Rattus norvegicus: one gene and its partner. The protein of the gene in region 2 purifies or fractionates together with the protein of the main gene of each other region. This does not show direct contact. Links are inferred from orthologs where the notes say so. Each region holds a gene or a part of one and is shown on either strand. Other genes may lie near its edges.

Region 1 (4,219 bases), about 32 Mb from region 2:
TCGCAGGCCCCACCCCCAGGCTTCTCTTCCCACCTCCCGGTCCTTGTACATTCTGCACCCTGGGCTGGCAGGGCACTGGTTGCAGTTCCACTGCTCAGCCTCCTCAAGCTTCTAGGTCAATCTCAGCTGCTTTGACTACCCAGAACAGTTTCGGGTCACATCCAGCTCAGCTCTGGTGTGGATGCCTCTTCCACCTCCCAAAGTGATTGTGTCGTGTACCACCATCACCTGGGAATGGATAGTCTGGGGATTCAGCTCTGGGAACTCCTGCCCCAGGCTACAAAGAAGCCACTCTTTCATGACCTGTGCTCATTGGACCCCTGTTGGTGCTAGCTTGCTCTGCCCTGGGCCTCCTCTCAACCCAGGGGTTTCTGCAAGGGCAGTGACAGTTTTGATTAACGTTCATTATCACTTCCTCCAACCGACAGGAATAGATGTGATGACTCCAGAGCCTAAGAGTATTGAGTATTTGCAATGTCCCTTCCAGGTCTCAAAGCAAAATCTCATGGCCAATGTAACACAATGGAGAAAGCTTCTTACCTTTCATATCCAGACAGATCTAGAAAGAGAAAGGCAGAATTCATGGCTCTAGAGGGGCCCAGGGAGGGGAGGCAAACACGGACAGGTGGAGTTTGTGTAGCTAGTCTGTATTTCCTGGCATAGGCAACTCCTACTCCTATGTCCAGTGAGCTCAGTAAGCTTTTGGGAGCCATGAAAACCAAAGTTCTAATGGCTCCAATGTACAGATGGGAATACTGGGTCTGCCCTTGAGTTAGAAGCACAGCAGGGGAGTCAAGGACAAAGCTGTGGCCTCAGGATTCTCCAACAGGTGTCTGGCAGCCAGAGTGTCCTCCTCCTATGACAATTCAAGGTATCAGGAATCTGTGACACTTCTCCCCTAGTTACAGAGAGGCCCAGCATGGCTGAGTCACCCTGGTCACCAGCAGCACTGGAGAACAAAGGAGAAGTCAGTGGCTGCTGACTCCCTGCCGTGCCTCACAGGGAGCAAAGCTCAACCTTACAGTTCCAGAGAGTCTCAAAGCGGGGAGGGGGATGGGTGTGGCTGAAGAGAGATGCATCCAAGCATCTTTCCTCCAAGGACTGAAGCCTGGGTCACGATGCTGACCAGCCAGCTGCATTGGCCCTCAAGGTGAATGCAAACACCTCATGGCTGTCCGCAGTCTCCCAAAGCTGTGCCTCTGCACCAAGTGAGTCCCTTGCTAGTCTTTACACCCAGGGCCCCAAGGAGAGCCACAAGATACAGTGGGCTGTGGCCTCTGCCCCTTCCTGACCTTCAGCAAGGCAAGTGACCTTTCTCACCCTTCAGTTCCTCTTTGGGGAAACCAGAATAGGAAAATTAACCTCCAGGAAGGGCCATCAATAGGGAGGCTGGTGGGAGGTAGTTTCTAAACATGAGGAATCTGAGTTAGCACTATGCCTCAATTTCTACTCCTGGGAAATGGGAATAACCTCTGTAGCCCCTTTCACTCACTGCTGAAAGGCTCTGGGGTCAGTGGGCAAAAAACCAGTTTGTTTAAGGGCCCCAACATGTGACTGCAGGGATGCTTCCTTTCTGATCATCTCTCATCACCGAGGCTATGCCTAGTATACAACAGGGGCTTAATAAATAAATATCAGAGGAAAGGAAGTGAAGGCAGAGAGAAGAACACAAACATAAGAGTAATAAGGAAAGCAGTGATAAAAAGCAGGTGCAGGAAGACTAGAGGAGGGGCCAGGAAGGGCGGCAAGGAGACTCTCAAGGGCCAGGAAGGTAAACTCTAAGTTGACTAGGGCTGGTCTAGGTCATAAGGATTGACCCCAAGAGCTTCCCTGCCCCTCCCTAGCCTTCCTACTTTGACCTAGTTTCCATTTCGAGGGCCTAACCTTTCCTTTCAAGGCAGGATCTACAAAAACAGTTTCCCTCACCACCACCATCCCCAGCTAGATGTAGCCCCTAGCTATGTGCTTTGGAGGTCAGAGGGGAAGGAAAGCATGTGAATGGGACCTGCCTTCCAGGTCTCAAAGTCTCCCACTCTGACCTGTGTTTCTGGTCTGGCCATGGGGAGTCAGAAGTGAAGTGTATCCACTGCCCTAGAGATGTCAGGCCCTGCAGGCATTTTCTGCTGTGCATGTGCGTGATTGGCCTTGATGTGTCACTAAGACCTGTGGCTGCATCGTGTCATTTCAGAGAGGGTTGACAGACTGCAAGCACTAGCCAGACCGTGCTTTGCAGCATCCAGGTGACAGGATACGTATGTTGGTGTATGCCCAGATGTGCGTGGCAACACGAGGTGTGTTAGAGCTGGTGCGTGTTCCAGTGGGACCTGTGTATGCTAACAGTACTGACAGCAGGAATGTGTTGGCAGACTAGTGTGTGCGTGAGAGACCGCGTGTGACGTTGTCGTGTCACAAATGCGAAGTGTGGCAGCGACTGTCAGTGTGTGCCAGCAGAAGGGTGTTCATGTGTTTATGAGTGTGTGTGTCGTGTGTCAGCCTGCCCCAGAACGTCCTCGAGTCTACCGACCAGCCAGGGCTGGTTGTGTGAGCTCGTCTCGGCCAGGAGCCTTGAACCAAGTGGGGTGGCCCATCCTGGGTGCCTCCGTCCTTACACATGGTTCTGGCCAGAGACCACACAAGAGACTTGGGCGGACAACAGAGTGCCAGATCCCGGGTGACGCTGATTGGAACCTCCGCCCGTGCCCTCGCCCAGGTCGTCCCCACGCGCACGCGGGACAGGGCGGCCACCCGCACTCACCGTGTCCCTTTGTCGCCCATGGTCCGCGGCGGCCGCAGGGAGGTCCGCGGCGTCAGCGTCCAGGCTGGAAAATCCCCGGCCGCCAGGAGAAGCGCGGGCCAGCCCGCTCCCGGCTACCCCGCTCCGCCTCCTCCGCTGTCGCCGCCGCCGCCCCCGCCCGGGTCCCCGCCCGTCGCTCGAGCAGCACAGCGCCCCGGCCGCCGCCAGGGGCGTGGAGCGTGCGGGTGTGAGCGCGCGTGTGTGGCTCCGTGCGCCGCTCTGCGTGTGCGCGCCCAGAGAGTGAGGGCTGGGTGGCCGGCCGCGGCTGGTCCACGAGAGTGCGTGCACGCAAGCGCGTGCCAGTGCTGGTGCGTGTGCACGGCTGTGCGCGCGAGCCTGTCGGGAGAAGGGGGGAGGGGTAGAGAGAGAGATTGTGTGTGTGTGTATGTGTGTGTGTGTGTGTGTGTGCAGAGATAGCACGTCTTTGTGCAGTTGTGCGTGTGTGCTCACAATCGTGGGTGCAAGCGCGCTCTCCCGCGCAAGCCAGGACTGGCCTTTGTGTCTGCGGATAGATGCAAGCGGAAAATCCGCAGACTCCAAGGCCCAGCCTCAGCGGCGCCCCTGTGTGTGAACACAGCAAAAGATTCCAAAAGCCTAGCCAGGCCTTCGCCCTTTGCTCCACCCTCCCCGCCCCCGCCCTTCTGGAGAGATACCACCCAACGGCACAGCGGGGACAGGAAGAAGGGGTGGGGGCGGGCAGCGGACTGCAATGCTGGAGAGCAGATGAGAGTGGAAAGAGGAGGGGAGGGGCAGGCAGAAAGAGGAAGCTGTGAGAACAGAAGATAAAGCAGGGACCAAGAGCCAACTAGCTGGTGACCGGAGCATCCAGCATCATTGCTAGCACCCAGGCCTAGTTTACTTGCCTGCAATGACTCTAGACATCAGCCATCTCAGCCCATTCCAGATCTACTGGCTGGGTCCTAAGACCAGCAGATGCCCTGTTCTATAGGTGAAGGAATTCACTTGTTCTTGCCGGCAGGCACCTGCACACAGTGGTGTCCAGCAGAGCTTACTGTCTGCAGCTTTCTTGCTATCCTTGAAATCTTGACTTTCCCCAAGTTTCCTACCCCTGTGGAAGTAGCAGGTGTGCAGTGGGAGGGTGGAGTCCAGAGGCTAAGGAGGGGTAGGAAAGGGTTCTGGATTTTAATCCATTTTCTCCTGGAAGGGATCTTAAGGGGTTCCTTCTTGCTTTGCAGGAAGTGGGAGAATGTAAGGTCTTTCTCAGCCGCTTGCTGCTGGGGTTTGACTAATTGGCACTGATAGGTCCCTAATATCGGAGTATTAACGATAGGAAAGGAAGCTATCATTTACTCTGATGCAATTGCGGGTCTGGAAACATCTCCTGTAATTATGTTCAGAAGAGTTACCTATGCTGTTTACATAGAGTGTGCTGTTTATAGAGTTGGTAATAATATCCCAGGATAA
Region 2 (3,512 bases):
AACGGGAATTCCGAATAAAACTCATCGTCAATTAGATTTCTATACAAGAATAAAGTCAAGCATCTGGACCCAGGAGCTCGGCAGCTATGAACCACAGAACCGAACTAGCAGCCTTAGAGACGGCAAGTTCCGTATTCACAGGGACGGAAACGCTGCTCCTAAGACACGCAGATGCCGATGTCCCTCTCAAGCATGGCTGTTTAATGCAAATATTAAACTGATAAGAGATAACTTTCGAACAAAACTAACTTTCCTACCCCCTCCGCCCCCAGAGTTCTACAATGTAAGTTGATAATAGCTATTTTTTGATGCTTCTAATAGCTATCTCATAATATTCAAATATTTTGCTTCCTGATTGTCTCAGAAAGTGGCACAGTGATACCATCAGTTAACACTGCAGCATGCTGGCAGCACTTCTGAAGGGAAGGGAGGGTTCTCCACAGAGGCACTGTGGGCAGGGTCTCTACCTTCACGAGATGGAAGGGCCGCTAGCCACTGGCTTCTGAAATTGTACTGACATGACCTGTGTTCAATCACGATGGGAGATGGGTGCCTTCCACTTACGCAAATGCTGAGAGATTGTGAGCTTTCTATTTCCCATGGGCTATAACAGTTCCCAGGACCCCAGGTCCAGCAGCAGCGAAGGCGCCAGGCACTGCCACTAGCACCTTTGCTTCTGGGAAGATGAGCACCTGGGAAAACGGATGACCACATAGACGGGAAACCACCCGGCCACAGGAGGCCTAGTGGGAGAATGAGATCGCTCAGAGAGCTCTAATGCTGAGCAGGCAAGGTGTTCCTATCAGTACAGGGAAACTCTTAGAAGATCCTGGGAAATGCTGACAGCTAGGCTAGCCCCTCTCTGTTCCTCTTTAATTCTAAAGGGCTCATGACCCAGAGCAAAGTCTTGGCAAGACCACATATGCATAAAGTGACTGGAAGACAATGGGTCAGTTCAGGGTAACCTCGGTGAGAACAGTATATCCCATGGGGCATTTTGGGGACAGAGGCTAAAACAATATTTTAACCAAGTCCACATATGGCTTATGATAGTTTGGATGGATCCAGTTCTCTTAAAATTCATCCTTTTTCCCCTTGAGGTGAACCTACTCAAATACCATCTAAACAATGGAAAGGCTGAAGTGTAAACTCTCCTGACTAGCTGTCTCAGGTTGGGACAGTTTAACGTGACAAGAGGACACGTGAGGATGAGGTGGTCACCTGGCCTGATTCTTCACAGGAACCCCAAAGATTCTCTACTCAGCCAAGGCATACAACCACCTGGCCATCCCCACCCTCTAGCTTGATGTCTGAGTGACAGGCCCAAACTCACGCCTCCTTGTAGTAGACTGTGAAACTGATGAGATCCCGGTAGTCCGGCGGCCGGTACCGGTGCCACGTTATGATGATGCGGTTCTTCCAGGTGGTGGTGGAGGTGAAACGGAGAACATCACTTTCACCTGGGGGCAGAGAGGTGCATCCGTGAGTGACAGAGACCCACCTGTCTGTGCACTAACACTTCTATCTTTCCCGAGGCTGGCTGTCCGTACTAAGCTCTGTCTGGATTTTGTAGGTAGCATTCTGATTTTTCCACCAGGAGTCCAAACATTTCACAGGGGATAGAACCTACAGGTTCATCTTTCACTCCAGGTCAGTTTGTCCCACTGGTCACCTGCCCAGGGGATGGGGCGTGAACCTGTAACTGTCTCTCACCCCGTGAGAAGGGCCTCTTTACGAACAAGGTGGCCTTGCCTTTCAGATCATTCATAGGATGCTGGAGGGTAAAGGGGACCTGGTTAAATGACTGCAAACCTGTAGGCTGTACTGAGAGAACAGCGAGTCCTGTAGGTATAGGCATCTGCTGGCTTCTGTGCAGCGACCACAGAGTATGCCTTACACAAGGCATGTGTAAGACCGCGAGTAAGCCACAAAACAGAGCTTCTCTTAGCTAGAACGGGGTGCCAAGCTAGAAGGATACAGGACCTCCTTGGAGTCTTCTAGCAGGAATGAGACTGGGTGGGCACTGACCTGGGCAGGCCGTGTGCTCTCTGGCACGTACACCCTGGCTGTGAGGTATGGTGAGGTGTGGGGACTGTCCTGATTTTAGCACTGCATTCTAGCTGGTAAGGTGGGAGAAATGACTGTCAATATCCCATCAAGTTGTGTTCAACCCCAAAACTGCCCGAACTGCTCTCACCAATGAGCTGAAGGCAAGAGACAGAGAACACCAAAACCCTGAGAAGTCAGCAAAATGTGCTTAACAGAGACCCCCAGAGCATGGCAGGTCCTGCTCAAGTGTCACCCAGAGAGAGAACCCTGACTGTGCTTCCAAAGGAAAATAAATGGCTGGTGCATTCATGACCTGGCAGGTCCCTAGCTGCCTCTAAGGGAGAAAAACTTCGAAATGTTTCAATTGCAGGCTTTTGCTATGGTCTTAATGGGGAACAGGCCAGGGGACTCTGCAGGAAGGTGAGGGTGCTGGTGAGGGTGCACATTCACACCTCTGCCTAACTACTCTTCTCAAAATGCCTCCTGGATCATGAGGGTATCAGATAAATCTGGATACTCAGAAGACAAGGCTAGCCCTCCCTCCGTATATATGCGTACATCTGACTAGATGTTGGTCACATGACTCCTTATTTTCCCCACTAGTGCCATAAAGACGGAGGGCCATATAGAGCTTTAGCATTTGTTTGCTTCCTTAAAACAGGGTCTTTTGATGTAGCCCAAACTGGCTTCAAACTCGCAATCCTCCTGCCTCAGCCTGTTAAGTGCTGAGATTATAGGAGTGTACCTGGCTCCATACAAGGCTAGAGAAAGACATTCCACGTCTGGGGCCACATTTGGAGAGGGCTGTGCTAACAGGTTGAACTCTCGTCTATGAGATATTAGGGTGAAAACTGTATTACCTAGATGGTATTATTACATTGTCTAAAATGTGAAAAGCATTCTGGATTCAAGGACTTGGGCTCACTTTGTTCTGGGGATGCAGGACAGAGCTGGCTTGTTCATGGGGCTGGAACAGACTAGCTCTTTAATAAATATTGTCTGCTCATATTGACAAGATATTTCACTGTGCACGCTCTAAGAACCTGCTTGAATGTTTAATATACTCAAACAGATCCTCTGGAAAAATGTATCAATACGGATATATCAGGCACCCACCCACAAACTGTGCAGACACACGCAGAGGCCAGGTACCAGCTGCAGTGCTTTGACAGTCCAAAGTGAAAGAGAGCCCGCCCATGAATGGCTGCCATCTTGACTGTGGCAGCCACAGTGATTTAACGCTGTCACTCACAGGAAGCTCGCTCTCCGTTGTTCCTGGTGTTTATGTCTCCTTTGCTCTGCCGTCCCTTTGTTCCTGTCACCTCCTCCATCCGGTAAATTTCAGAGACACACAGCTTGGGATTGAAAGCGAAGTACATTTTCCCTGACCTGACGGTCAGGTTCCGGTGGTTCCAGTCCCACAGCTGCTGCAAGTTCTGGTTGTCCAGGACATAGAAGGAGTA

Evidence for each region.
Region 1: the proteins of Igf1r (region 2) and Arrb1 purify together in Homo sapiens (affinity purification with western blotting; 3 studies listed by BioGRID and IntAct, with this or other methods). This does not show direct contact. The link is inferred for Rattus norvegicus from reciprocal best matches to the Homo sapiens genes IGF1R and ARRB1.

Annotation. Positions count from the first base shown.
Region 1 is NC_086019.1:163,248,804-163,253,022, reverse strand, and holds the start of Arrb1 (beta-arrestin-1), read right to left. Parts: upstream 2,808-4,219; 5' UTR 2,776-2,807; coding exon 2,756-2,775; intron 1-2,755. UniProt on the Homo sapiens protein: Functions in regulating agonist-mediated G-protein coupled receptor (GPCR) signaling by mediating both receptor desensitization and resensitization processes.
Region 2 is NC_086019.1:131,193,985-131,197,496, reverse strand, and holds part of Igf1r (insulin-like growth factor 1 receptor isoform 1 precursor), read right to left. Parts: coding exon 3,302-3,512; intron 1,461-3,301; coding exon 1,334-1,460; intron 1-1,333. UniProt on the Homo sapiens protein: Receptor tyrosine kinase which mediates actions of insulin-like growth factor 1 (IGF1). Binds IGF1 with high affinity and IGF2 and insulin (INS) with a lower affinity. The activated IGF1R is involved in cell growth and survival control.